Lonchura striata: one gene and its partners. The protein of the gene in region 1 interacts with the protein of each later gene in a pairwise test. Links are inferred from orthologs where the notes say so. Each region holds a gene or a part of one and is shown on either strand. Other genes may lie near its edges. The genes, in order: MID2, UNC45A, TOP3B and DCX.

What was found.
Region 2: the proteins of MID2 (region 1) and UNC45A interact in binary tests that used the Homo sapiens proteins (3 or more experiments, as listed by UniProt). The two-hybrid records come from large-scale screens. The link is inferred for Lonchura striata from reciprocal best matches to the Homo sapiens genes MID2 and UNC45A.
Region 3: the proteins of MID2 (region 1) and TOP3B interact in binary tests that used the Homo sapiens proteins (3 or more experiments, as listed by UniProt). The two-hybrid records come from large-scale screens. The link is inferred for Lonchura striata from reciprocal best matches to the Homo sapiens genes MID2 and TOP3B.
Region 4: the proteins of MID2 (region 1) and DCX interact in binary tests that used the Homo sapiens proteins (3 or more experiments, as listed by UniProt). The two-hybrid records come from large-scale screens. The link is inferred for Lonchura striata from reciprocal best matches to the Homo sapiens genes MID2 and DCX.

Annotation. Positions count from the first base shown.
Region 1 is NC_134616.1:15,075,840-15,083,415, reverse strand, and holds the start of MID2 (putative E3 ubiquitin-protein ligase MID2), read right to left. Parts: upstream 3,013-7,576; 5' UTR 2,928-3,012; intron 1-2,927. UniProt on the Homo sapiens protein: E3 ubiquitin ligase that plays a role in microtubule stabilization. Mediates the 'Lys-48'-linked polyubiquitination of LRRK2 to drive its localization to microtubules and its proteasomal degradation in neurons.
Region 2 is NC_134613.1:24,392,332-24,399,651, forward strand, and holds the start of UNC45A (protein unc-45 homolog A), read right to left. Parts: upstream 2,958-7,320; 5' UTR 2,940-2,957; coding exon 2,928-2,939; intron 2,577-2,927; coding exon 2,418-2,576; intron 2,048-2,417; coding exon 2,011-2,047; intron 1,926-2,010; coding exon 1,750-1,925; intron 1,656-1,749; coding exon 1,563-1,655; intron 1,352-1,562; coding exon 1,184-1,351; intron 995-1,183; coding exon 826-994; intron 588-825; coding exon 417-587; intron 314-416; coding exon 142-313; intron 1-141. Other genes in the region: protein shisa-like-1, read right to left, coding at 2,958-3,133, 3,550-3,686, 3,874-4,172; MAN2A2 (alpha-mannosidase 2x), read right to left, coding at 6,243-6,395, 6,553-6,663, 6,753-6,947, 7,230-7,307.
Region 3 is NC_134620.1:7,281,113-7,288,268, reverse strand, and holds the start of TOP3B (DNA topoisomerase 3-beta-1), read right to left. Parts: upstream 3,012-7,156; 5' UTR 2,931-3,011; coding exon 2,861-2,930; intron 2,200-2,860; coding exon 2,068-2,199; intron 1,850-2,067; coding exon 1,743-1,849; intron 1,327-1,742; coding exon 1,252-1,326; intron 320-1,251; coding exon 123-319; intron 1-122. UniProt on the Homo sapiens protein: Releases the supercoiling and torsional tension of DNA introduced during the DNA replication and transcription by transiently cleaving and rejoining one strand of the DNA duplex.
Region 4 is NC_134616.1:17,687,173-17,694,676, reverse strand, and holds the start of DCX (neuronal migration protein doublecortin), read right to left. Parts: upstream 3,003-7,504; 5' UTR 2,874-3,002; intron 1,406-2,873; exon of another isoform or gene 1,367-1,405; 5' UTR 1,340-1,366; coding exon 976-1,339; intron 1-975. UniProt on the Homo sapiens protein: Microtubule-associated protein required for initial steps of neuronal dispersion and cortex lamination during cerebral cortex development. May act by competing with the putative neuronal protein kinase DCLK1 in binding to a target protein.

The DNA of each region.
Region 1 (7,576 bases):
GGTGCAGCCCAGTGTTTCCAGTGCTGCGTAGGAACACAGGCAGGCGCCCGGGATCCGAGGGGTGAGATGCTCCCTGCACGCCACTGGAGCCCCCCGCCCTCGCACAGCACAAGGAGCCTTTCAGAGCCACACAGACACAGCATTCTCCCGCAGCTGACCTCCCTGCCCTGGCATTTTTGGGACCCAGGCTCCACAGCAGCCAGCGATGGCGTTGGAGGCAGCAGCCTGAGGCCGGGGGATGCTCCTGGTCAGAGGGGCTGCCAGGGCTGCCCGTTCGTACCAGATGATGGCACTCATTGGCTGCAACACACTCGCTTTCCAGGCAAAGAACACTGAAAACAAGTGAAAGCAGCAACACAGGCTCCCCAAGGCTTTGTCCCTCTCCAGAAGGGAGCTCAGGGGAGCAGCCACCCTCCCCTTGCAATGAGGGGAGCACCAGCCTCAGAGGGGTTTCGATCAGGTTAAGGTGGGTTTGTTACAGAAGGTGTTTGTAATCAGCAGCAGAACTCCTTCCAGACGAACAAAGTAATCACACTGCTCATCAGCTTCCTTTAGTGAACCAGACAGTTCTGGTTCCAGCATCTCTGATGGGACAGCCTTGGTCTCTCCAGAGACCAGTCTTCAGGATGCTCCAACGCCCTTAAAGCCAGGGGTTGACCCAAGAGCTAAAAGGCTCAAGGCACCCCTCCACACGACAGAAGCCACAGCTGATAGCTCAGGAACCCACAGAGAGCCCAGGTGAGTCGCAGCGTGGGTTTAGAAACACCTATCCATCCCTAGAGGGGACGGAGCAGGAGACAACAAAATCTTGGCTTTAAAAGTAAGTCATTTATCCATCTCACATGGTCCCAGGGCCAATCCCACTCTGCTCACAAACAGGCACACACACCGACACACACCTCAGAGGCCAGCACAGCTCACCCGGTGCACGCTTTGCAAGGCAGGGATTTATCACCCACTGCAGCTCCATTTCTTTTGCAAAGCAGCACTTCCAAAGCAGGCAGGACGTGGGCTGTGCACAGGCACGGCCTCGCAGCCGCCATGGAAGGCTGCACAGGGCACAGACCCAGCTCGGATCGCAGCAGCCGGCACATCCAGGGCTCTGCAGCCACCTGCCTGAACCGAGACAGCTGCTGCTGTCCTTGGCATCAATTCATCCTTCCTGCTTGTAGTGCTATTGCACTTACTGTCTTTTCCCAGGAGTGTCCTCAGGGAACATCCCCTCGGTTCGAGGGTATTCCAGCACTGCTGCCTGGGCCAGCCTCCCTCCTTCCCTCCGTACTGTGGCCAGTTTTACTACCCCTTGTTCAGGGGCACAAGCCAAGCCTCGAGTGTGCTCCTTGATGGCAAAATGCAGCAGAGACAAGCTCAGCACAGAGCCCCTGACACCCGGAGGAGCGGAAGCAGCTCTGCACAGCCCCTCCAGCACAGACTGAGGGTCACTGCCCGCTGCAGCCGGGGTACAGGAGGGAAGGGCACTGCAGAAGGGTCTGAGAGCAACTCGAGCCTACACTCAATGCCCCCCCGGCAGGTCGGTGACATCTCCCATATCTGCCCGACACTGCCCGATGATGCCCCCCTGCCACCCGGGAGCCAGCAGCGCCCTGCGCTCCGCCACGCACCGCTGCCAGCTCCCACCCGGCTGCGGCAGCTCCTCCGGCAGAGCCGGTCTCCTTGAAGCCGCCTTCCGACAACAAAAGCCGAGCCGAAACCTCCGGGCTGGCTGGGGAGACCTGGGCGGCAGCCAGGAAGGGCAGGAGCCATTAACGCCGGCGTGTCCGGACTTGAGGGAATGACGGAGCAAGCAGAGCCATCTGCCCTCGCCGGAAACTCCGCAGACCGCTGGGCAGAGCGGCCCTTCACCGCGCTCCAGCCGTGCTCTAGCCCTCGCCAGCTGCGCGCATCGGGGCAATAAACCTGCGGCTGGGATGTTTTTTTGAGGCAAAATAGAAAAATAAAGCACGAGAACGAGGTGTCACTTGGGCGCGTATTCCAGCAGCCGCACAGATCCTCGGCGCAAGCAAACACACTCGGCTGCCGGCTCAGCGCTGACACCCCAAAGCGCGGGCAGTACCCCGGGAACGTCTCCCGACCCCCGGTGTCCCGGGGGGCAGCGCTGGCAGACCTCCCACACGTGGCCGTGTCTCTCCTCTGCGGCTTCCGAAGCGCCGGTCTCGGAGCCCGCTAGCGATTAAGTTCCATGGCCCTGGAGTTCAGCAGATCCCAGCCGCGCTGGGGGAAGGGGAGCGGGGGGGGCCCGGGAGGATCGGGGCAGCACCGGCCCCGCACCGGCTCTGCGGCAGCGACGACAGCCCGGCACCACAAACCGGCGGAGCTGGAGCGCGGGCACGGGGCTGGGCGGCGAGAGGGATACGACACTGTCCACCGAAAAACCCGTGGCGAGGGGGAAGGCGGGGGCATGACGGGGTGGGCGCGGGATCCCCAAAGCCGCGGGCGGGGAGCCGGGAGCCGGCGAGTTCGTATCCGCTCCGCCCGGAACGCGCCGCCGCTCCCCAGCAGGACGGCCCTGGGCGAACCGGGGCACCGGGAAGGCCGCGGGAAGCGCCGGGCGGGGACAGGCCACCCGGTCTCCCCGCCGAGCGGCGGAAGGTGCCGGAGCGGGCTGGCAGACGCACTCGGCGACGGGGAGAGGCGACCGGGAGCGGGGGGAGCCCGCGGCGGCTCCCGGGAAGGGCGGCAGTCCGCCGCCCAGGCACTCGCTGCAAACCCGCGGGAAGGGCCGCGCCGCGGCCCCGACGACCGGCTCGGTGCTTCCTCCCGCCCCGGTACCTACCAAGTGGATCGCGGCATTCCCTCCCCGACTCGGTGCCGCCTCCCGCCCCGATGCCGGTACCTACCGGCGGCCCGCGGGAGCCCCCCCGGCCCGCCCCGGCGCGCCCGCCCGCCCCGGTGCCGCCGGTACGTACCGGGGGCCCGCGGGAGCCTCCCTGCCGCTGCCCGGGCATCTTGGAGGCGCGGGGACACGGCGGCGGCGGCGGCGCGCGCGGGGCGGGCGGGGCGGGGCCGGTGCGAGCGCGCGGCCCCGCCCCCCGGCCCCGCCCCGCCGCAGGTGAGGCCGCGGCGCCGGGAGCGCGCACGGGCCCGGCGGGAGCGCGCGGGGCGGGGGCACTGCCGTGGGACAGCGTGTGACCCGTGGGGATAGCGTGTGCCCCGGGGGGACTGCCCGTGGGGACAGCGAGTGCCCCGTGGGGACAGCAAGTGCCCTGTAGGGACTGCCCGTGGGGACAGCGTGTGCCCCGTGGGGACACTGCGTGCCCCGTGGGGACTGCCCCTGGGGACAGTGTGTGCCCCGTGGGGACAACATGTGCCCCGTGGGGACAGCGTATGCCCCATGGGGACTGCCCATGGGGAAAACGAGTGCCCCGTGGGGACAGTGCGTGCCCTGTAGGGACTGCCCCTGGGGACAGCGTGTGCCCCGTGGGGACTGCCCGTGGGGACAGCGAGTGCCCCGTGGGGACAGCAAGTGCCCTGTAGGGACTGCCCGTGGGGACAGCGTGTGCCCCGTGGGGACTGCCCGTGGGGACAGTGTGTGACCCGTGGGGACAGCATCTGCCCCATGGGGACACTGCGTGCCCCTCAATGTGTGCCCCATGGGGACAGTGAATGCCCCGTGGGGACAGTGCGTGCCCCTGTGTGGTCGGGGCAGTGCGTGTTCCGTGGGCTGGGGACACTGTGTGCTCCATGGCATCGGGCACTGTGTGTGTGCTCCCTCAGGCGGGGGACAGTGAATGTTCCTGTAGGGTGGGGGACACTCCCACCCTAGCATCGGGGACACTCTGTGCTCCTGCGGGCTTCGGGGCAGCGTGTGTCCCTGGGAGATGTGGGGAACTGCGTGTTCCATGCGATGGATGGCACCGTATGTCCGTGTGTTTATGGTGAGATTTGGTACCTTGACAGCCTTGGGTCTTTCAACACATTTATTTTTTTCAAAGTGAAAAATGAGTTAAATGGGCTTTTCACCACCTGATTCAGCATCACAAAGGGACGTCCCACCCAGCGTTCTCCATACAGCAAACCAGCTCTGGGTGAGGTTGGATTGTTGCGTGCAAAGTGCATATATATATATATATATATGTATCCACAGCAATAACATCAAAGGGAAACATGGGAGGGGGAACCCAGAACTGTAATTTATTCCTTGGTAATATGGGGACATGTGGCACAGGTTATTTATATTTGAAGGCTGCCCTGAGTGTAAAATGAGCCGTCTTTTAAAAATAAACATGAGGGAAAATACACCCAAGCTCCTGGTGTGTCTGAAGGTGAGGCCAAGCTGCTGGCAGGTGCTGGAGGAGGTGCTGTGAGCCGGGAGCAGCAGGAGCCTCCTGCGTGCCCTGAGCGCCTTCATCCCTGCACACACACACAGAGGAATGGTGGTTGTTGGTCCAGGTGGACACTGAGCACACAGCAGCTGTCCTGCGGTGGCTCTCAGTGAGACAGGACAGATACAAGGCCACTGAGCAGCCAAGGCTGCCACCACCACCATGGCTGGCCTGGTTCTCACCTGGTTCACTGTGCAGAGGGATCACAAATGCTTGCTTCCAGCAGGGTCTGACAACAGGGGGGTTAATATGCACCATGTTGTTTGCATTATAAACCCCATCTCTGATTTTCTAGCAGCGAAAGCACAGCACAGGCAGCTGTGGCCAAATCACAGACTCTAGAGCTGTCCTGGGACCAGCCTTTGTCTCTGTACCTGTGCAGAGCAATGTGAGGTGAATGAACAGCCTGACCAGGGCCCCATCCTCTGACCCTTGGACAGGCAGGAAATTAAAGCCACTTTTCCAAATTTAGAGCCACCAGTAGCCCACAGCAGGTAGCCATGGGTGGGTTCAGGCTCTGAGCAGAGCTGGGGCTGTGGCTGAGCAACAGCAGAGATGTGCAGCCCCCAGACATGGCACATTAGGCTGCAGGGAACTGAGACCAGTGAAAACGAGCAGATGGCTGGAGGTCACAACAGCGTCCCACCACCAAGGGTCTCTGGGTGACAACCTGACTGCCCAGCACTCACTGCAGTGCTGGAGTGCAGATACCAGTGGCAGCTCAGCTCTGATCTCCAAGAGCCTCAGCCTTCCTCCCACAGCAGGGACACAAAGCCCAGGTGTGTGGTGGCCAGCTCCACAGTGTGCCCATGTCCCTCTAGCTCCAGTGCCAGCCTCACCGCAGAATGAGCAGGGCCAGGGAGCACAAGGGCCAGGAGCAGCTGCAGGGGTGGCACAGCAGAGATCAGTCTCAGTGTCTCCTCTGCACCCTGGGAGCCAGCTCGTGGGGCTGGAGCAGCTGCTGGGATGCCACAGTGGAGATCAGCCTCTGTGCCTCCCCTGCTCTGCAGGATCTGGCTGTTGCTGGCACTCCCAAGCTGAGGGGCTGTGGTGGATGTGCACAGCTGTGGCTCCAGCTGCTGAACAGACCCAATGCCAAGGCCCAGAGTGGGCTGGCACCCACCAGACCATAGCTCAGAGACACAGTATGTTTAAGTCCCTCAGTTTTCCTCATGGATCACTGCAGATGCCAGCCTCCCTCGAGGCGTGATGGGCACTGGATTAGCTGGGATCCTGCATTAATCGGCAGAGTGGCAGAGGTGACCTTGGGCAAATATTTACAATTACTGTGGTGTCATGTCTGTGCATGTACTCAAAACACAGAAGGGGTAGGGTTCAAATGGCACTTTAATGAGCTGCAGGGCAGCAGGAGGGTAGAGTTCCTCACGCTGATGTGCTGAGCAGTCCAGGGTGGGGAGATCATCTCCATCTGCCCACAAAGGCGTGTCAGTGTCGGAGTGGCGAGTGCTCAGCAGCCCTTCTAGGATCTGTGCATTTTGAACAAGGGACCATCTCGGTTTCTGCATCACACGGCTGTGAGCATGTTGCTTGGAGTCGGGGAATTGGGATTTTCCTGCCCAAGGCTGCTCTGCACTCACATCCACATTGCACAGACAGGAATGGAAACACTCGAGTTGTGCCGTGTGCCTGGGATGCCGATTGACTAAATAACACTAGGTTATAAAGCAGGGTTCCCCCTTGAAAATTTGTGCTTCTAGTGGAAAGCGCAGAGGAAAAAAATCCTTTGAAGTTCTGCATCCCTCTTCCCACTCCTTCTGAAGAGCAGGCAGCCAGTGTGGAGACGAGCAGGGCTTGATGGATGAATTACCCCAGAAGAATTTCTTCTCGATTCTTTCCTACATTTTGATGATTTCATTTCTGCAGCTCTCATTAGCACCTCCTTTATCCCCAGTTCTTCCCCAAAGGCATTCTGCTCTCGCTCCCTCCTGCTGCGGAGGGAGCGGCAGAGCAGGGATAGCAGTGGATGCTGTGCACCACCTCATGTTGAGGCCTGGAATTTCAGAGCCTGAGACGAGCTCCAGCTCTCTCCCATGGCGAGGGAGGTGGAGTACTCATCTGCCCCAGAATTTACTCTGCTGGATAAGAGCGATGCCTCATCTTCACACAAGGGCTCAGTGGCAGTGTTAAGACCTTTGTTAAGGCCCCGTGGTCTGACAGACCTGCCAAAGCCCCAGCAGGCAGATGAGCTTCCCCACAGGCTCTCAGGGCTGATTATTGAAGAGGAAATCTGTTTTCCCAAGTCTGCACTTTTCTGCATTCAGACCAACCCTGTATGCTCCCCCAATCCAGTACAGCTCTTTCAGAAGGCTCACAGGATTTTTGTGTCACCCTGTTTGTGAGCAATCCCCCACTCTGCCTCCCCTCCCCAGGACCCTCAAGAGGGAAAGGAGGCAGGCTTTAACAGGTGAGAACGATCCAGCCAGGTTTTCAGCCATCTCCTGCACATCTCTGTACTGCCAATGCCATTTCCACTCCCTCATGCTGGAGCTCAGCAGCAGATTTGCTCACAAAGTCCTGTTGTGCCAAGGAAAAGGCTCCTGAGTTCCTCAGATCAGGCAGAGGGATGAGATGCTGGCTGTACTTTTCCCTGGCATCCTTGGGCTGTGGGTCCCCGCTGTCACATATTCATGTTGGAAAAACAGGCCTGGTGCTTGCGGAGCTCAGGGGTCAGTGTTACACCGCTGTAATTCTGCATTCTGCACAACATCCCACGTGCAGAGCCAGCTGTGCTGGCCTGAGCTGCACCAGCCCGAGGATGGGAGAGGGGCCCAAGCCCCTCCAGCCTGGCACCCAAGTGTCGTGGTGGGCAGAGGTGATGGAGTGCCATAACCTTCCCAAAGCAGTGTCTTTAAAAATGTGTTCTGGGTGCACAAGTGAGTGATTTCAGCCATGAGCAACGCAGAAGGAAGGGACAGAGTCTTTGTATGGGGTGACACAGAGGGTCTCTATTGAGCTCCTACCACAAAGGGGTCCAGGCACCCAGAACTTGCTTGGGCAGAGAGAGCAGGGGTTTGTACAGAGATTAGTGAGGGGCAGGGCAGAACATCAGAATATTGTAAACGCAGGTGAACCCAATGGGAAGAAATGACGATGTCTGACTCAATTCAAAAGGCTGAAAGATTTCTTTATTATAACTATGCTAAAATACATTAATATACTATATAAAAAGGAAGACAGTAAAACTACATACCACTTTCTCTATCTCTAACACA
Region 2 (7,320 bases), on another chromosome or scaffold:
TCAGGATGATCCACCTGCTTCTTCCTGCCCCACCTGCTGACGCCCCCCACAGCAGGTCCCCAGTCAGCTTTGACCCCCTGACAGGTGCTGCCAGGCTGCAGGTGACAAAACCCCCGTCACTCCCAGGACACCCTGGCTCACCTCACATAGTCCTCACACAGACGGTGGAAGTTTTCCCTCTCGGCATCACACTTCAGGTCCTCATACAGTTTGCTCAGCAGAACAGAGGTGCTCATCCGGCTGTTCTCTGTCACAGGCAGGCTGCCCGCGCTGCCACACACTGTGCTGCCCACCTCTAGGATCTTCTTCAGGCCTGGAAAAGGTCAGACAGCCCAGTGAGGGGCGCAGTGGCATGAGCAGACCTGGGGCAGAGGAGCACGATGCCCCAGCAGGACATTGCTAGCCATTCCACTAACCCTGATCAATCACCCAGAGGCTCAGGCTGTTGTTGGTCTCCTTTGGTGACTTCCTGGGCACCACCTTGATAAGCAGGTTGAGGGCGTTGTCACGGCCATGTGCTGAGGCCCCTTCCACCACTAGCAGCTCCAAGAGGTGCTTGATCAGCAATTTCAGGTCCCTGGAGGAATCTTCCAAAAAAGACAGTCCCCAGCAGTCAGCACCCTGGGCACAGCCTCACCCCCACTGCAGCACAGCTGGCAGAGATGCTGCCATGACCAGGGGCTTCTGCCTCCTGTTAACCCTGCATCAGAGCCCAGCTTTGCTGCAGGGAGCAGTGACAGGGCAGCAGCAAAAAACCCCATGGCACCTCTGCACCTACCTGCATCTCTCCCCATACAACAGCCAGCCAAGGCAGCCCACACTCACCCAGCACCACTGCATCCTCCTTCCCGCGGAAGTCTTTCTGCAGCCCCTCCTTCAGGGAGTCAAACATCACGTGCAGCAGGTTGCAGGCAGCCAGGGACACCTGCTCATGCTCCACTCCCAACACCGCTGCAAGACGGGGTGCTCCCAGTTCTGCCAAGATGGCTGTGGTCTGCAGGTACAAGCACACCTGTCTTCCGGAGGCCTTGGGAAAGCCTGGCCGTTTCCCCGCCCCTTATCAGGATGGCTTCCTCTCACAAGTTCAGGCCTGGCAGGTAACAGCTCAGAGCTCCCCTGTCTGACACTCTGCAGCCTCCCCAGCTTTGCCCTGGGCCCAGCCATAGGGTGTGGTGGGACCTACACGAGAGCGGTGGCCGGAGCACAGTCCCACCAGTGTGCGCAGGGCTGCCAGCATCAGGTCAGCCTTGGCCGTGTCCAGCAGCTGCATCAGCAGCCGCACACCGTCACTCTGGAAGATCTTCTCTGCTCCAGCCTCTTCTCGAGCCAGCACGATCAAGTTCTGCGCAGCCTGGGGAAGGAGAGTTCTGTCTGGGTCATGGCAGCACGTTGTGCACCAGCAGCTGCAGGCACCCACCCTCCGGCCCTGTCTTGGGGAGCATTCTGAGGGGGGCAAGGGCAAGCCCAGGCAGCACCACTCAGCCACCGCTGGCCCAGGGGCAACAATCCTCCCCTCCTCTCCTCCCAGCCACAGCACTACGCCCCACTCCCTGAGCTCAGACTTTCTGCTTCTTGTCCGCATCCTTTTCTTCAAGATCCAGCAAGATCTGGAACATCTGCTCTACTTTCGAGTCCGTGCAGGACATGGCCTTCATCTGCAACAGAGCAGAAAGAGTGGCTCAGTCCTCCCCAGCTTCTCCTGCTGCCCACAGCCACAACGGGCCAGCACCTCCAGTCCTCCCTGCCAACCTTGTCGTGCATGCTGCTGCCCAGGGTGCGCAGGGCCTCCTGGAAGGCCTTGTTCCTGGGCTCCAGGCTGACGCAGCGCTGCAGGTCCCTGATGGCCTGGTCCAGGCGGCCCAGATGCTGCAGTGCCTGGCTGCGGCGGAACAGCGCCTTCACATCCCGGCCGTCAGCCTCGATGGCTGTGCACAAGGGGTCAGTGGCAGAGCCCGGGGCCTGCCCCCACGGGCAGCTCAGGGACTGGTCCCCCAGCCCCACGGACAGTACCTTTAGTCGCATCAGCCTCCGCCTTGGTGTAATCTTCCTGTGGAGAGATAGGAGAGAAAAATGCCTGAGCACTGCTGGCACAGGCCCCACACAGCCTACACCCCTAACTTTGGGGACTGGGGACAGGATGAGAACAGCGTTACTGTAGACAGGGAGCCAGCACAGTGTTTTTCCCACCCTGTCTTTCCCAGAGTACAGCCCTCAGAAGGTGTCCAGGGAGCCCTACGGCCCCCAGAGCTTTTCAGGCACTTCTGGTCTCCTCAAGCCCCTAAAGTTCCTCGTGTTCACCCCCTGCCCCAGACAAAGATTCCCTGCAAGAGATCAGAGACACTGTGACTGCCTGAGAACAGCCCCAGCCAGCCGGGCAGGTTCCTGCAGGCCGCAGGGCCGCTGCCGCCCGCGCTCACCAGCTTCAGGTAACAGGCGGCGCGGTTGCGGTGCAGCACGGCGCGCTCGGACGCGGTGTCGCTCAGGCTCAAAGCCTCCGTGTAGGCAGCGAGGGCAGCCCCGTGATCCCCCGCCTGGAACAGCGCGTTACCCCGCGCCCGAAGCTGCTCCGCCGTCACCTGCCGAGGGGCACCGGCTGGGACACAGCCCCGGGCCCGCACGGACCCGAGACAGGGACCCCCGGGACAGGCACCACCGGGACCCCCGGGACAGGGACCCCGGAGACAAGAACCCCCAGGAACAGGGACCCCGGGACAGGGACCCCGGAGACAGGGACCCCCGGGACAGGACCCCGGGACAGGGACCCCCGGGACAGGGACCCCCGGGACAGGACCCCGGGACAGGGACCCCCGGGACAGGGACCCCCGGGACAGGACCTCTGGGACAGGGACCCCCGGGACAGGGACCCCCGGGACAGGAACCCCCAGGGACAGGGACCCCCGGGCCCGGCCCCGCCCGGCCCTGCTCACCGGCTCCTCCATCGCGCCACGCCCGTGACGTCACCGCCGATCGCCTGGGGAACCCGGACGCCACCGCCCCTGCCACGTGACGGGGCGCGGCCGGAGGCGGGCGGGCCGAGCCTGCAGCGCCGCCCCGCGGCCCGGAGGTGCCAGCACCGACCGGCGGCAGCCCGGCGTGTGTCCCCGCGTGTCCCCGCCACGCATCCCCCGCCACGCTGCACCCGGAGAGCGAGTATCCCCCGGTACAGACCCCGTACTTAGCCCCGGAGCCCGAGTGTCCCCCCCCCCCCCCCCGTACTTAGCCCCGGAGTGCGAGTATTCCCGGTACAGCCCCCGAACTTAGCCCCGGAGTATGAGTGTCCCCCCGTACTTAACCCCGAACTTAGCCCCGGAGTGTGAGTGTTTCCCCGTACTTAACCTCGTACTTAGCCCCACAGATCGAGTGTCCCCCCAAACCCCCCGTGCTGCACCCCGGTATGAGCGTGACCCCCCGTCCCCCAGGGTGCCGTCCCCCCTGCGCACAGCCCTGCCCTGCCCGTGGCCGCCCCTCAGCAGCCCCGGCCGGGGCGCGTCCCGCGGGGGACACGGTGCGAAGGACGGGCGCCGGCCGGCTGCCCCCGCGGGAGCCCACGGGGCACGCGGCAGGCGCGGGGCAGCAGGCGGCCGAGGTGGCACCGTCGGGTCCAGTAGAAGTGGCAGAGGTCGATGGCCATAAGCAGCAGGACAAGGAGCCCATAGAGCCCCACGAAAGGCAGGGCCAGCGGGTTCCTGCAGGGTGGGGCACTTCAGGAGGGGCAGCCCCATTGGTACTGGGGAGGGCCATCCGAGGCCCCCTGAGGGCTTCAAAAGATACCACAGCCCCTGCCCCAGCAACCAGGAGAAGCCCCTGGGGGTGTGCCAGGAGTCCCCAGGGCCCCCCATCCTCAACAGCATGGCCACTTGCAGCCCTGCTCACCGGAGTAGACCAGGGCTAGCCAGGCTGGAGAGGTTCACTCCAGTGAGGGCTTCCAGGGCCACTTGAGAGCAGCAGGACTTTAGAGTGTCCAGGCTGGGCTGGCAGCAGTAGCGGTGGCCGGGGGGGTCGGTCAGCCGCGGGCAGTAGAAGCCGGGGTGGAAGCGGCCATCAGGGCCCACGTAGCCCTCGCAGAGGTGCAGGTTCTGCACCGAGACTGCAGCGGGGAGCACGCATTGGAGAGGGCAGGGAAGGAGAACACAGGAATTGTGCAGTGCCTGTAGGACAGGCTCCAGCGACATGCTCTTTGCCATGATGCAGCAGAGCAGGGACTCCCAGTCCCAGCAGGGCTGGGCTGGCCTGGGCTGAGGGCTCCCCAGCCCCAGGGAGCCTGGCTAACCTGGCACAGGGCTACCTGGCTCGGCCCTCAGAGCAGGCTACACCCCACGAGGCAGCAGTGGCGGAGCAGAGCTCCCCTGGCACTGCCTTCTGGTGCCATGGCCCTGTGTATGCTGTGACCTCCGGTGCTCACCAAGGCCTCGGCAAGGGCAAACGTGGGCAGGGGCGGTGCTGGTGGCAGAGAGGAGGGGAAAACGCCCAGGACATCAGGTCAGCCCCCAGCCCCCGTGCTCAACCCCTCCCTGTGACCCTGTGGGAACAGCACTTGGACACCGCAGATGTGCTGCAGCAGGAGTAGCCCCAGCACCACCACACCTGAGCCACCATCCCCAGTATGGACCACCACCTCTCACTGCAGACCACTGCCTCCCAGCACAGACCCCCAACCTCTGTTCTGGGCTGTCGGGGAGCAACCCTCAAGGGACAAGGCCCCATCAGGGATGGGTTCAGGGAATAGGAGGGGCAGGAATGGGGCTGTACCTGTCCCAAGGATGCTGGGGAACAGAGCCGCGGTAAGGAGCAGCTGGAGCAGGTGCCCAGCCAGCATCTTCTCAGCCAGCCCTAGGCAGAGGCAGTTCTGGCTCCAGTGGAGGCAGAAACCACAGCCCCTCCTGCTCCCGCCTCCATCGCAGCCTCCACCAAGAGCCGCTCAGAGCCATTAGAGCTTCCTGCACTCACTCTGCCCACAGGGACTGGGCTGGGGGCGGGAGCATCACTAATGAGCTTCTGGGGCCAGGAGCAGGACAGCAGGCTCCACTCCCAGCTGGATGCATGGCACCAGCTGCTGTGTCCAGGGCCCCACTTGGGCACATGGGCCCATCCGGGAAGTCCCTGAAAGGGCGCTGCACCAGGCCAGGGCACAGGGCAAGTGCTGTGAGGTGCTGAGCTTCCAGGGGCCAAACCCATGGGATGTGGATGTGCTGGGGGTTGTGCAGGAATCGTGGAATCACAGAATCATTTAGGTTGGAGAAAACCTCTAAGCTCATCCAGTCCAACCCAACCAAGCCAGAGCTGAGGCAGTTCCCCACCTCACCCAGTCCTTCCCAATGCCCTCCCTGCTGGCCGTTGGGAGTAAGTAGCCCCAAGGGGCCAGGAAGTATGACCTGTGGTTCCCACAGCAACCAGGAGGATGCTCTGGTGACATGGTGCAATTACCTGCGACTCAGCCACTGCAGCCCCAGCAGAGCGGACCGCCAGGCTCACTCTGAAAAGGGGCTAAAGGCTCTGGGTTTGGGGGAGGCACTCCCGCACTTCACCCAGGCACTGCTGCCCGCACAAGGAACTGACTCCCATCCCCCTGGCTCCTGCCCAGCACCAGGCACTGCTTGCCTCCAAGCACAGCTGGGCCTGGCCATGCCACCAGACTCTCACAGGTGCCTGGCCAGACCTTCAAGCTGGTCTCTGCCTGCCTCAGAGGCCCTGTCTCCCCACAGCACACCATTCCCACTCTCGAGTGAGAGCCACAAACCACACATAACACCAGGGCCCTTGGAAACAGCCTTGTGTTTCCTATGAGCTCCAGGAGAGGTCAGTCCCCAGTCCACAGCACTTCCTCAGGCAGCTGCCCAACACCACCGGTGCTCCTGGCCTCCCCTTGCTGCCCTGCCATGCAGGGGGAGCCCTGCAGGGGCCCCTGCCCCAGCCATCAGGGTGGCTGCCCTCCTGGGCAGCCTGCCTGTGGCAGGCAGCAGTGTCTGTCCCACCAGCAGCAGCAGAGCCCAGCCTGCAGCCCTCCCCAGCCACGCTCAGCCCATCCGGCGCCACGTCCAGCAACGCCTGGTCCAGCCCTGCCACAGCAGTCAGTCCAAAATCCATCTGAGAACATGGAACTAATAAATTAGGAAGTGGCAGCAGCAGCCTGTGCCAGTCTGGCCCCTCCTGCCCGTGCCTGTCACAGTACTGCCAGCCACTCCACTGCTGCACTGGTGCTGCTCCTGTGCTGTCCAGCCACTCCACTCCTCTCCTGCTTGACACTACCCCAGGCGGATGCGGAACGTGGCGATTTCCATGGGGTCCAGATGGATGTTGGTGCTGTTGGAGGCTGTGCCCAGCGGGTACATGAGTGTCAATGAGGTGGGCTGCAGGGAGCCCAGCTCCAAGCCCTGGAACAGGCCTCCCAGAGCTAGCTGAGGAGAGAGGAGGAAGAAGCGAGGAGGCCTAGATGAGGATGTGATGCCTGGGGCAGCACTGTGCCCAAGGCAGCCTGACACGTGCCATGACTGCCATGCCGAGGTCCCAGCCCAGCTCTGACCCAGCGGAGGTATGGGGGCAGCCTGGCCCTACCTTGCCCTGGCTGGTGGTGCAGTTGAAGCCCAGGTTCTTGGCCTCCAGGCTGCAGTCAAAGCCTTTGCGGTGCAGGATCAGCGCTGCCTCAGCTGAGGGCAATGATTCATCCTGCAGGGAGCTGGAGCGTCAGGCACAGCACGGGGGACAGCAGGGGCAGGACTCCCACCAGAGTCCCACCGCCCCGGGCCCTAGCTCACCTCTGCCTGCAGCATCCGCAGATTGAGGATGTGGAAGTCGCAAGGAAGGGTGGTGGCAAGGGGCACAAAGGAGCGCAGGGCTGGCAGCGCTGGCTTCTCCAATGCCACTGGCATGACCAAGGCCTCGGCATTCTGGTGCACAGAGGTGATGTGGCTCAGCAGGGAGGGGAAGCTGATGGGGCGCTCGTCCTGCACCTGCCAAGCAGCACATAGGTCAAGTGTGGGCTCAGAAAGCCAGGCAGAGCCTGGGCAAGGCCCAAAGAACCTCCATTCCAGCAGTGCCTTGAGACCAGGCACCTGCCAGCACAGTGTACACAGAGCTGCCCCTGCCCAAGCAGCCCCCCCCGCCCCAGCACCCAAACAGGACCCCAGCTAGTTGATGGTCAGGCTACAGACCTGCTACAAGCCTGGCTAGACTAGTGGCTAGCAGCTAGTGCACAAGACAGGGAGAGACAGCAGGGCCAGGCTGGCCATTACCTCACGGCTGCCAGTCCTGGTGCCAGGGAAGCTCAAGGCTTTAAACATGGAGATCAGTTTGGAAAAGAAGCCGGAGCTCTGGATGGGTGGC
Region 3 (7,156 bases), on another chromosome or scaffold:
TCGTGGAAAGTAGGGGCGGGGAGGCAGTGAGTGGCTGTGTGGGGTTTGGCTGGCATTAAACCATGAGGGCACAGAGCCCCTCTTGAACCTTTGACAAAACTGTCTGCAGTCTGTGCTGTCACCTTGTGAAGGCACAGCCAATCCTCAGATCCAGCTCCTGGCGAGCATCCACGGACAGAGCTTCGTTGCGATTGGGCTCTCCCAAGTGATTCATGGCATTGCAGATGTCTGTGTCGGTGATGGAGCTGAATTTAGCTCTGTAAATCGTCCTCTCCGTGCCACGAGGCTTGTTCATGACAGGAAGAACAGCATCAAGAACCTAAAGAAAATCAGAAGTGTACTTAAAAAGGATTTGAAAGATAAAGGCTTTCTCTCTAAAGATAAAAAAAAAACATTCTCCACAAAATATTTGTTTCTGTGTCACTGCTTTCTTATTTCAGCAAGATGTCATGCTCACACATTAACTGATAAGCCAGAGCAGTATTTGTCCATCCACTCAAAAGCATATAAAGAATTAACAAAACTGAAGGGATTATCTACTATACAGCAACTGCTGGGAGCAAATCAGTATTTTTGGCTAAGGGCAAAGACATTCAGCAGTGCAGCTGCAGCAGCTTTTGGTGAACATGTACCAATGTCTATCTGGGTTTATTCTACTCATTGCTAAGCACAAGTAATGACACAGGGGTAAGAAAGGAACTTACAATAATCACTTCATAAAACATGTTTCTTTAATCTAAAGAAAATCTCCAAACAAGTACTCTTCATGTAGGCTTCTGGGAATTGGATGTTAAAAAAAATCTTAGCAAAGTTTTTGTTCTATGTGTTCTCTGCTTTTTATGTGCAGAAGCAAAATTTAAGCAGCATGATTATACTTGCAAGCAGCTTCTGTGCTCCAAGGAATCTAATTGCTTAATAAACAAAAGATAACAGATGAAGTTTTATAAGGACATAAAAATAACTTCTCCAGCTGTGAAATACAGGCCAATTATTGAAGTACTGGAATGTTCTAACATTTAAGAGGCCTGATTCTTCATCTGAGATGAGCAACACCTCTGAAATTTATTTATACTCTTTAACTGACATCTTACAGAGTTAAAAGCATGTGGGCTTTTCCACCAAGGCCCTCTATGCCTTTAAAACTTTATTCAAGTTTAGTTTGAATTTTACTGTACACTCATAAAACAATGCATTGATAGTCTTGTCAGACATATATTATGGTGTTGTGAGTCTTAAAAATTGAAACCTTACTTCAAAACAGATGTTTTCTCCTTCCTTATCACAATCCAACCACAAGACAATACAATCACAGCCTCTTCCCTCCACCTGTGAGAAAAATCAGCACAGTTCTTCAGCAACTCAAAACAACATCTCCCCCCTCCCTACCCATATATTTTTTTCCTGGTTTCAGCATGGTGTGTGAAGTGTGAACAGTAACCAACACAGACTTATTTTAAAGAAGGCATTTATAAGCTGTGCTTACACTTGCTGTTATAAAGTTAAACTTGCATCCAGTGCTCCAACTCTCAGAAGCAGAATATCAACTGTCAAAAAACTCAGAAGGCAATGGGAAAAGTGACTTTAACATAGATTTTAGACAGCGCAAGAATCAGCAAAAATAAATTATTTATATTATGTTAATAAAATAGATCTAACTGTGACAAAAAGCTACTCCCTGGAAGAATTTTTATTTAGGCACATAGAAAATGCTAACTTTAAATTCTACTCCTAAGAAAGAATACCTGTAAAAATTTCACCATGGTCAGTTTGGGATTAGCTTCTTTCTTTTCTGTGGGAGCTTTACTAAAAAGTTCTGCTGGATCCACTTTGTCCCAGCTGTTATATTTTCCTGAAAAGCAAAAGTATATAAAATGGAGCTCTGAAGAAATATTTATAAAACAAACAGCTTCACATTGCAAAACACTTGGCTTTCAAAATTTATGTGGAAAATTTTCTACACTAACAGATCTTGCTTTACTGTATACCAAGAAACCTCTTCGTTTTTCTGAAGGACCTGGCAGCTCTACAAGCCATATTAGTTAAAACATTTGACGAGCAGGCAAATACCTATGAAATCCAAAGTCATGACGTGACCACACACCGATGTCATCTTGAAGTGGGCGCTCTGTCCTATGAAGGACCCGGTGTACTCGTGCACAGAGCACGCACCGTTGAGTCCCTTGCGAGAGGACATGTTCCCTGTGAAAATAAGATCATAAATATTAATGAGGTAGAAAAAACCCCAGCTAGTGAAACAAATAGTTTTGTGTGAAATTAAATCTTCCTTTCCTTAGATCTTACAGCTACGGTCTTTCTGATCATTGATCCTTTCTGATAATTGATGAGAAAGATCTACTCATTGATAAAACTTTCATTTCAGTAAGTATCAATTCAGGGCTTTCCTAAAGGATATTTTATCTTCAAATTAAACTATCCATTATCTCCACCAGCCTTTCCCTCCCACCATGAAACCTTACGAAAATACAGCTAGTTTTCTAGAACACACACTTATAATAACTTTATTTTCCATATTTATAAAACTTTTACTTCACAGATCTCAGAACAGCCACTGCCTACTTGATCGGCACTTTCCAGACACCGCATGCTCTAAGGCAAAATACTGAAACTAGATTCCTTTATTCTTGGATTAAACAGGCATCAGCCCATAGAAACAATCAGAACGTGATGGGACATCCCGTTCTTTGATGAACCTCTCCGAAGCCAGCGCTGCCAGGGGGCTCCGGCCCCAAGACAAGGCAGCCGCTGCCCAGGGTGCCTGTGCAAAGCCGGCAGCTCGCACTCACCGCCGCGCTCCGGCCGGGCCGGCCCCGCGGCGGGCACGGGCACCCGCCCCGCCTACCTCTGGAGAGGATCTTGGCGATGGACTGCGCCAGCGACGGCTTCTCCGCCACCATCAGCACGGTCCTCATCTTCGCCGCCGCGGCGCGGAGCCGCGGGCACGGCCCGGCGGAGCCGGGGAGGGACGGAGCGCCGCTCAGCCCGCCCGCGCCGGGCCACGGCGGCACCGCGGGCACGGGCACGGGCGCACCGCGCCCCGAGCGCCCGGCACAGCGCCCCGCCGAGCGGCCTCCGCGGGCGGCCCGCCGCGTCACTGCCGGTCACGGCGCCGGAAGGCGCGGGCGGCTCCCAACCGCCGCGGCGGCGCGCAAGGCGCGGGACACAGACGTGCGCCGGGGCTAGGGCGGACACACGGACACACAGAGACACGGACACACAGAGACACGGACACACAGAGACACGGACATACACACACGGACACACAGAGACACGGACACACAGAGACACGGACATACACACACGGACACACAGAGACACGGACACACAGAGACACGGACACACAGAGACACGGACACACAGAGACACGGACACACAGAGACACGGACATACACACACGGACACATGTGCGGACACACGGACACACAGAGACACGGACACACAGAGACACGGACATACACACACGGACACATGTGCGGACACACGGACACGTGCGGACACACGGACACACAGAGACACGGACACACAGAGACACGGACACACAGAGACACGGACATACACACATGGACACACAGAGACACGGACATACAGAGACACGGACACACAGAGACACGGACACATGTGCGGACACACAGACATACACACACGGACACACAGAGACACGGACACACAGAGACACGGACATACACACACGGGCACACAGAGACACGGACATACACACACGGACACATGTGCGGACACAGACATACACACACGGACACACAGAGACACGGACACACAGAGACACGGACATACAGAGACACGGACATACACACACGGACACACAGAGACACGGACACACAGAGACACAGACACACAGAGACACGGACATACACACACGGACACATGTGCGGACACACGGACACACAGAGACACGGACACACAGAGACACGGACACACACACACGGACACACAGAGACACGGACACATGTGCGGACACACAGACATACACACACGGAGACATGTGCGGACACACGGACACACAGAGACAGACACGGACAGACAGAGACACGGACACACAGAGACACGGACACACAGAGACACGGACACACACACACGGACACACAGAGACACGGACACACAGAGACACGGACATACACACACGGACACACAGAGACACGGACACACAGAGACACGGACATACACACACGGACACACAGAGACACGGACACATGTGCGGACACACAGACATACACACACGGACACACAGAGACACGGACATACACACACGGACACACAGAGACACGGACACACAGAGACACGGACACACAGAGACACGGACACACAGAGACACGGACATACACACACGGACACATGTGCGGACACACGGACACACAGAGACACGGACACACAGAGACACGGACACACAGAGACACGGACATACACACACGGACACACAGAGACACGGACACATGTGCGGACACACAGACATACACACACGGAGACATGTGCAGACACACGGACACACAGAGACAGACACGGACACACAGAGACACGGACACACAGAGACACGGACATACACACACGGACACACAGAGACACGGACACATGTGCGGACACACAGACATACATGCACGGAGACATGTGCGGACACACGGACACACAGAGACAGACACAGACACACAGAGACACGGACACACAGAGACACGGACATACACACACGGACATATGTGCGGACACACGGACACATGTGCGGACACACGGACACACAGAGACACGGACATACACACACGGAGACACAGACACACAGACATACACACACGGACACATGTGCGGACACACAGACATACACACACGGACACATGTGCGGACACACGGACACACAGAGACACGGACATACACACACGGACACATGTGCGGACACACGGACACACAGAGACACGGACATACACACACGGACACATGTGCAGACACACAGAGACACGGACACACAGAGACACGGACATACACACATGGAGACACAGAGACACAGACATACACACACGGACATGTGCAGACACACAGACATACACAGAGGCTTGTGCGGACATATGGACACACAGAGACACAGACATACACACACGGAGACATGTGCGGACACACGGACACGCACAGAGACACAGACATACATACACAGAGACACACACACACAGAAACGTGTGGACACACACAGACATACACACACAGACATACACAGGCACATATGCGGTTACAAGGACACACAGAGAGACAGACACAGACAGACACACAGACACATACGTACGCACAGGCGTGGATACACACACATTTACACATATAAACTCACCCACACATATACACACTCATACAGAGACATATACAGGTATACACGGACATATACACACATACATAGATGTACATGCAGAGACACATACACACACATATAAGCACTCACAGACATACAAATATATACATATATATATATATATACATATATATATATATATACACACGCATTCTCTCACACTCAGACCCCCCGGGGCTGGCGCCCCCCGCTGCAGCGCCCCCTGGCGGCTCAGGGCGGCGCGACCCCCGCGCTCCCGGCGGCGGGGCCGGGCCGGGCCGGGCTGGGCGCGGCCGCCGCTCGGGTCACTCGCAGGGACACCGGCACAGGGGCACCGGCACAGGGACACCGGCACAGGGACACCGGCACAACGCACCGCCTCCCCTTCCTGCCGAAGCCCGTGGGGAAGCTGTGCCGCGGGAACCGCCGGTGCCGTGCCGCATGGTGTGCAGATGCCCCCTTCCTTCATCCACACCGGTGCACAGAACGTGTATCACCCAACCCCTCTAAGGGAACACACACACAAGTTGTATCTGCTGTGTTCGAGCGACACGGACCGCTGTGCCTGTGCCAGTCTGTCACTCAGGTTACAGTTCCTGCAGACCCGAAACGCTACAAACAGTGTCGGACACTGACAGCATCTCCTTTAACACAGATAAATTCACCTTAGGACTCTTAAGAGCACCTGCTTCCCTTGCACCCTGATTAGATCATGGAAACAATATTGAGTGATTCTTGAAAAAGTGTATTTTTTTTGCACATTAGATTTTAGATTAACGTTGATGTCTCATTTAAGCAGAAATACAAAAAAGAGAAAAAACAGTGGGAAGAGAAGGGTCAGGCTGGGCAGAAGCACACCCTTCCCTCGTGCCTCCTTTCCCCAGGGAGAAGGCAAGGGCTCCCCCGGGGGATTTTGCCCCTGAAAGCTGCAGCTCCTTTCTCCAAGTCATGGAGGGACTCTTTGCTCTGTCCTGTTTCCCAGGGATGCTGGGCCCTGTTAAGGAGATTTGGTCAGTGGACTGAAGCTGTTTCTAACCTTTCCTGCATCTTTCAGCTCTTCCACACATCCTGAAATCTGTCTAGGGAAGAGATAAAGAGGGAAGCCCCAGGTTGATGGGTTTTTATAAGCACTTTGTGGAAAGAGCTCAGCTCTCTATTTTTACCCCCGTGGTTGTGCATCGATCGTTGCCAATGTTTATAGCACTTTTCCCAGAGCTGCTCAGTACCATAAAAACCCAAAGAGAAGAGATTGGGAAGCAGCCAGGATCAGGATGTATATCAACCTCATGCTGGCTGAAATAAAAAGGAACTAATTCACCTTCAATTTGATTAGTAGACAATTAATAGACACTGAAGTTGTTAGCGAAAGGAAAAATCAAAACAAGCCCAGGCCTTTTAATTCTTTGGCAATATTAAAGTTCGAACATATTAAAACAAATGTGTTCTTCTCTTTCAATGCCTGGTTCCCTTTGACATCTGGGGAACATCTGGAACAATCAGGATGCGAGTTAAAACCAAGTCTTCAGATATGTCAGATACATATTTTTTAATTTCCTCTGGTAAAAGCCCTCTACAAAATCCAACCTTCCTTTTTTCTTTGAATGCTCAACGAAACATGAAATTTCAACTTGCGTTCACCCGGGAAAGCACAGCCGGGACTCTCCCCCACGTGGCCGAGGGACTCCGGACACTCTGAGTCCCCGTGTACCCCGGGCTGGTACAGATGCGTGTGGCTGTTCCTGGGGCCACACAGGGGCTGCCCCGGCCCGAAGGGATCCCGCTGCCGGACACCCACGAGCCCTGCGGGGCCACCGAGTCACG
Region 4 (7,504 bases), about 2.6 Mb from region 1:
GGACACGGCTGGGAGCGGACACACGGACACGGCCACGAGCTGGACACACGGACACGGCCGGGAGTGGACACACGGACACGGCCGGGAGCTGGACACAGAAACGCAGCTGGACACACGGACACAGCCAGGAGCGGACACAGGGACACAGCCGGACAGATGGACACAGCCAGGAGCGGACACAGCCAGGAGCGGACACAGCCGGACAGACGGACACAGCCGGACAGACGGACACAGCCGGGAGCGGACACAGGGACACAGCCGGACAGACGGACACAGCCGGACAGACGGACACAGCCGGGAGCGGACACACGGACACAGCCGGACAGACGGACACAGCCAGGAGCGGACACAGGGACACAGCCGGACAGACGGACACAGCCGGACAGACGGACACAGCCAGGAGCGGACACAGCCGGACAGACGGACACAGCCGGGAGCGGACACAGCCGGGAGCGGACACAGCCGGACAGACGGACACAGCCGGACAGACGGACACAGCCAGGAGCGGACAAAGCCGGACAGACGGACACAGCCGGACACACGGACACAGCCAGGAGCGGACACAGGGACACAGCCGGACAGACGGACACAGCCAGGAGCGGACACACAGACACAGCCGGACACACGGACACAGCCGGACACACGGACACAGCCAGGAGCGGACACAGGGACACAGCCGGACAGACGGACACAGCCAGGAGCGGACACAGCCGGACACACGGACACAGCCAGGAGCGGACACAGCCAGGAGCGGACACAGCCAGGAGCGGACACACCCGGACAGACGGACACAGCCGGGAGCGGACACAGCCCTCCGGCCCCACGCCCGCACCGCGCGGGGACCCGGCGGGCGCGGCAGCCGCCCCGCCACCCTCCCGGCGGGGCACAGCGGGGCTCGGCACCCCCAGAGCCGGGGCAAGGGGACCCTGGGGGCACCGAGCGGTGCAGCCCCCTCCTGCCCATCCCTCTCCTCACCTTCCTCCAGCTCGTCCATGCTGCCGATCTTCCGCGAGCCGTCGATGGTGTAAATGTAGCGCACTCCCTGAGGCAGGTTAATGTTGTCGGACAGGGACCGGGTCAGGTCCGCCAGGAGGGCGTCAAAACTTCGGAAGCGGTCGGAGGACACGGCGTATACAATCCCCTTGAAGTAGCGGTCCCCGTTGCGATAGAAACGAACCTTCTTGGCTTTCTTCTCGTTGCTCAGCGCCTGTAAGGTCCGGGTTCTGTAGAAGCTACAGTGAGCGCTGTGAGTGGGGCTGGGCAAGCCGTTCATCCGTGTGCCTCGCATGTTTCTGGACGCCTTGTCTCTTTCGTCAAAGTGTCCAAAATCAAGTTCCATAGTTTGGTGAACCCTAAAGATCTGAAGCTGGGCAGGAAGGAGATGGGGAGAGAAGGGGGGCAAAGGGATGGGTTAGAGCCCAGCAGAGCCACAATCCGGAGAGCAGAACGACGCTAAGGCTGTGTCTGGAGCAGGACGGATGCATTTGGGAAGCGCCCCCTCCCCTGACCCAGATTTGTATCGATTCTGGGGACCGAGAGTAGGAGGGGTCCTCGCATTTTGAAAGGGATCCAACTACTGGGGGCAGGGAACACGTTTCTAGAGAGCTGCCTGCTCCTGCACCTGGGAGTTTTCAAAGTGCAGCAAATTGGGACTTGGGGCCAAAGGCATGCATGGCAATCACAACTCAGCCCCCAAAAAACCTCATCCAAACACCAGTTGGCAATGAATTAAACCTCTGAGCCCTATGAGGTTTCCTTTGGCAACAGAAAACAAGGAGATCCCAGTAAGTCAGCCCTTCAATCTGTCGAATCACGGAAGGACCCAGAGCATCTGAATGTTTAACATTAGAATAAACTGGCATTTATGAAAGAATGGTCACAGGGGAATAAGCAGTTTCTTTGTGACAGCCTGTTCAATAAGGGTTAGCAATGAGATCCAGCCCACCCTTCCCCCTATCCGCAGCCCCCTCCTAGCCCATCAATCAATTCCCAGGACCAGCCTACATCTCTAAGAAGAAATGACTGCAAAGAAAAATCTGTCATTGAAACGCAGCTTCGGTAAGCTCTTTTCAGCCCGAGCCTCCTCTGAATTGCATTTTTGCTCCCGTTTAATGAGGAGGAGAAAATAAAGGGGCTATTTCCACCCCCCGCTTCCAGCCCTAAGTGATTTAATAGCTGGAAGTGCCCGTGCCCCAGGGACACGCCGCCCCTGCTCCTCACCTTTCATTGTTCTGAGCGCGGGGGCTTCCAGCACAGAAAAGCCGAGGCTGGAGCTGACACCCAGCGAGCAGGAATTTTGCACTGTCTCTAGTTTATGCTCGAGAACAACCTTTCCCCTGCACCAAACCCCAACACAAAAGGAGAAGGAACCCCCCCAACTCTGCAGTCGAGACCCTTCCACTCCCCCGGCTCCACCAGGCACATGCACCTCATGTATGTGGTTCTCATGTTAGCACAGGGCTGAAAGGGGATTTACAGCACTTGGCAGCCAGGTATAAATCCAGGAAAAGCTGTTGCTATCGCATCCCCGCCCTTTACACTCGGCAGAATGAAGCTCCTTCCCTGTATTTTACAATGTCAGCGTGACCCATGCAAGAAAAAATCATTGTCCCCAGGCTGCAGCGAGGCAGATGACAATGCAGGCATTCCACACAGAAACCCCAAGTTGGGAACGTTCCCCCCACGATGCCAGCTGGGGTAGATTCAGTCTGGTGTCATGCACTGAACAATGAAACATCCAAGCAACTTCGGGAATGAATCAGAGGATGCAGGGGTTTTGATTTTAAAATGAACTGCAGATGCTGTAAGGCACCAAGAAAAGATTCCTCCTGTTACTTTTCTGCATGCAAGTCATTCAGGAAAGCTCTACTCACCGGTTTTCAGCGTGCAGGGTGGAGATGCTCAGAGAAAGAAAACCAGGCTCACTCTGCCTTTGTTGTCTGAGCTCCAAGCAAGAAATTCCTGCCAGGGTGGATGAGACGCCTCCTAGGTCCTAGTGCCTTGTTCCATCCCTTCACGGTAACTTTGCCTCAGTGATTTTCACTCTCACCATCAGCTGCCTGCTCACAGGCTGTGTTTGAGGGGGAAACAGGGGGCTGATTCCAGCTCTGGATATGTCAACAAATCAGTAAACAAAAGGTTAGAGGGGCAGGTTTGGGGGTGGTGTTTGGAAGGATGCAAATTTTCCCTTGAATCCAGTTGTACCAAGAAATCGTCTGATCCAAATGAAAAATACAGAATTAGGAAAAAAACACTGGATAATTGCCCCAATTCTACAGGGGGGTCGCAGTCACAATCCCACAGTGTGGCACAGAGCTGGCACAAGACTCCTGGGTATTAGGAAGGCAACTGAAAAAATCTCTGACCAGTGGAACTGGGCACAGTCCTGCTCCTGTGCTGGTTTTACACAGCATCTGTGGTTTACACTGGCAAGCAGAAAGGGAGAATTCACTTGGTGGTTCTGCATGAGGTGCCCCTGAATATTTTTTCTCTGTTAACATTGGACACAAGCCAAAGCCAGAGCGCTGAATCCCAGTTCATTCAAATCCCCAGGGGCTTTGGGATGGAGTCATCCAGCACAAGCCAAACCCTGCAGATCCAGCATTGCTCATATCCCACAGTAAGAGGAGTTTATCTTCTGATTCCATTACAGGAGGAGCCAGCTGTTAAAAAATTGTACTGAGCTCTTTCACTTTGACAGCAAAATCTTTCACCTGCTTTCTGGGTGGAGATTTCTATGCTGCAGCACCACTAACCCTGCTCCTAACCCCACTGATACTGGCCTCATCTTTACGTTAGAAAATAATGGGATTTGGAAATGGGAGAGTTTTCCCATCTGTAGAAGGAAATCTTTCCTAACAACACTGCGTCTGTTTCGAGTGAAAACATCAGATGTTGTCATTTTGGCACATCACAGCAGTATCACATTTAAACAGAAGGAGTTAGTATTTATTCCAGCTTTGTCTGCCCTGTGCATGATAGTCCAGGCAACACTGACACAAACCCACTGAGAGTTGGTCTCTGATTGCCAGCAACTTTCACACATGACATTTGTAAAAAGTTTCTTATTCCCTGAAACTAGCTTTTTATTCAAAGGCTCCCACGCATCCTCTGCTGGAGCTTTTGGCTGCTCCCTTGTGTGCGTGGTCAGATCACTGCAGAGGAGACAGAGCTGCTCTCCCCCCTCAGGAATTAGCCCTGGAGAGGAAGAACAGGGTCTGTCCTCTCCAGGGTATCTTTCAGTGGGTCTCTGGATGCAGTTGCAAGGGGTTATGTGGGACTTCAAACCTTGTCCTTCCCATTTGGTCCTATATTCTTAATTAGATAATTCCTGGCTGTTCATCACTAGGAGCTTAATCTGTCCAGAATTAACAATTCTTTCCTTTAACACAACACTTCTGTAAATATAAATCTGCCAGTGCTTTAAAATTTTGCCAAAAATATAAATCATTCAGCATGTGCCAAGTACAGCAGCAGCAAGAATAGAGAAAAGGAGAGTCTTCATTCAGCCTTCAGTGGCACAAGAGCTTTGACAGAGAAGAGGAAATTTTTGGGATGATGGCTCAGGATCCAGGTACTACACCAATGTAACCAGGCAGGATGATGTAGACACAGGTAGAATTGTACCACAATGTGTCAGTCTCCCAAATTTGACTTGTATGGGAAGTTTTGAGGACAACAAAGGGTGTCAAGCATCATTAACACATGGCTCTTCTTTCTGCATCCCAGCCCAGAGCTGCTGTGAGAGGAGCGTGTCTGTGTCTGCTCAGGACAGGGACAGGAGCTTTCTGAAGCACAGGCACTTCCTTTGCAAGGCACTTTAACAGAATTACTCCAACAAGAGAACTGGAATTTGTCCCTGGCTGAAGGATAAGGTTTCTACAGCAAATCATGGTAAGGTTCCTCTTGGGTGAAACCTTGAGTTCCTCCCAAACCATGCCCAAAACACCTCCAGTGTGTCCTCCTTTAATCCTCCACAAGATCAGGAGGATCTCACAAGCCAGAGCACCACCAGAGGTGAAGAGCCCTGGAGCCAGACTGATTTCAAATGTCCTCAGTGAAATCACACCATATTTGCTTCTCTCCAAGTGAGAACAGAATCACCTCAGACCACAGACATCAGCACAGAAATAAGCAGCACCTCCTTGAGGAAAGCAAGGGTCTGCTCCTGACTTCAGTTCTTCCTCAGAGCTTCTTCCTTGGCCTTAAGCAGTTAATGCCAGTCAAAACATATTTATATCAGAAGAGACTCACCCTCTGAGACATCATAGTCTAAACAATTTTAGGCAGTGTGAGGGATTGAGAATTGGTAAGGAAATTCCACTTCCCATCAATAATTTCATCTGGCTGCAAAGGAAAGATAAATTTAGCTCTTCAGATTAAATTATCTACTTTAAATCAGGTGAATCATCTTTCCTCCAGGAAGGTAATATTTAGACTTTTTCCTGTGTAAATAAATCCGTATAAATACATGTTTGTTGACATTGCTGAGCAACTGTGACACTTTGGAAAGGGACAGACTGCAGGTGACAGGGGTTGTGTGAATGCTGTGTGCTAATTTCTTCACATACACCTAGAAAATCCAGTTCCTAGCATCACTAGGAGCTGCAGTCTCAGATACTCTATGTCAGTGCCCTGTTGCTTTGCTATGCAACTTCCTGACTTCTGTAAAAATTGCCTCTGATAGCACAGCACATTTTCTGAAGAAGATAAAAGTTGGGGTGATAAGCAGCCAAGGTCTGGCTGTACCACAGGATCACAGAAAAATCAAGGGATCACTGGGTTAGAAGGAAGCCTTGGATCAACATCTCCAAGTCAGTCTATTTAGAAGCACGTGTTTAGTTACATTTCTTACTTTAACCTCTGTGGTTCTGGACAATTTGGAAATTGTCATCCCTGACCACTGCTGTCAGAGCTCTGCTCAATGTAACTTAAACACCAAAACTCTCTGAAACCACAAGTTGTTATTGCAGGGGTCTGACAAGTGTGTCAAGGCACTCACAGCTGAAATCCCATCAAGTCAATGGCTCAGTCTTGACCCTATAGAGCAACATCCTTTAAATCTGAACCTTCAAAAGAGTGAGAGTTCATCAAAGAGTTACCCTACATCAGGCTATGGAGCTAAGTTCCTCCTACAGAATACTACGAGCTAATAAGCAATGGGGACTTGGCAGACTTTCACCACATAACATTTGTCTCCTTTGGAGATTTATTTTTATAGGGACCACACACATCTGAAAGTCTTTTAAATACCAAAGCTGGAGAGCCAAAGTCAGCCCAGCCACTGGGGAGAGAAGGGTGGAGGGTCACCTGCAGAGCAGTTCCCCCTCTGCAAGCCCAGGAAACATCTGCAGGGGCTGCTCAGACCTTGAGGCTGAAGGACTGAGCACCACTGGAACCTCCAGGGAGGAGCAGGGAAAGAATTTTCAGTGTGAGGAAGGAGGAGAAGGGTGGAAGAAGCTGCTGAGCTCTGAGGCCACCTCAGTGTGGGACTGCTCAGGAGTGGCCACAGCAGCAGTGTCCCCCGGGTGGGACCTGCCACTGCTCCACACCCCACAGGCTGTGCTGAGCCAGGGCATGGCAGCCCCACAGCGTGGCAGATGCCCTCAGCCTCAGCAGGTGACTTTAGCTTTGGGTATTTCTGAAATCTGGGAGCCAGGGGCCTTTGCATCCTCTGAGGGACCATCAGGAAGCAGGCTGAAAGGGAAAAGGCCATTTTCTGTGCTGAGTATCTGGCAACTCTGCAGCTCAATGAACTCAAGACATTCCAAACACATCCAGATACAGCAAAGCATTAAACCCCACAAAAGTCATCCAAGAGAAAAATACCTTCAGCACTAGATCTCTTCTGGCTCAATCCCCTCCCTTCTACAACAAGCCACCACAATTAATAAATCTTTCCCAGCTGAAAATAAATTCCCTGACAGCAGGAAGTGAAGCACCCCACCCCAGCACACCCCCTGTGTATTTTGAATGAACTCTGCCAGAGCTAGCAAGTTCCACAATCCAGCTTCTCAGTGGCAACGTTTTGCCTTAAAATCAAAGTGCAAATCTTGCAGAAATCCATGGCTATGCCTGTACCCAGGAGTGTGCAGAACCCCTCTGAGCTTGTCAGTACATTAGTGCTGACCAAATTACGTATTATGCATGGTCTGTGAGCCCCAGCCAAGGTCATGACAAATGGATCAGCAAAACATCCAAAAAACATCCAAATTCTCCTTTTTCCAAGGTGGTCCAAGGGCTGCATCATAGTAGTTAGGAGACTTGTGACCAAGAATTTAATAATTTCTTGATAATTTCATTTTATAGAGTAATTGTAACTGAACACCTGATTGCCAGCCTCTCTCAAAATGTCTGCTGAGTGTAAAACTGGCTTGAAGGACTTTCCTGATGGAATTCTAAGTGATAGAAAGGAAAATCCCATCAAAGCCATCACAGAGGATCATGTCACATTCAAGCTGGAAGTGCAAGATGTTTCCTCTCAAACACAGATCCTTTCTGTCAC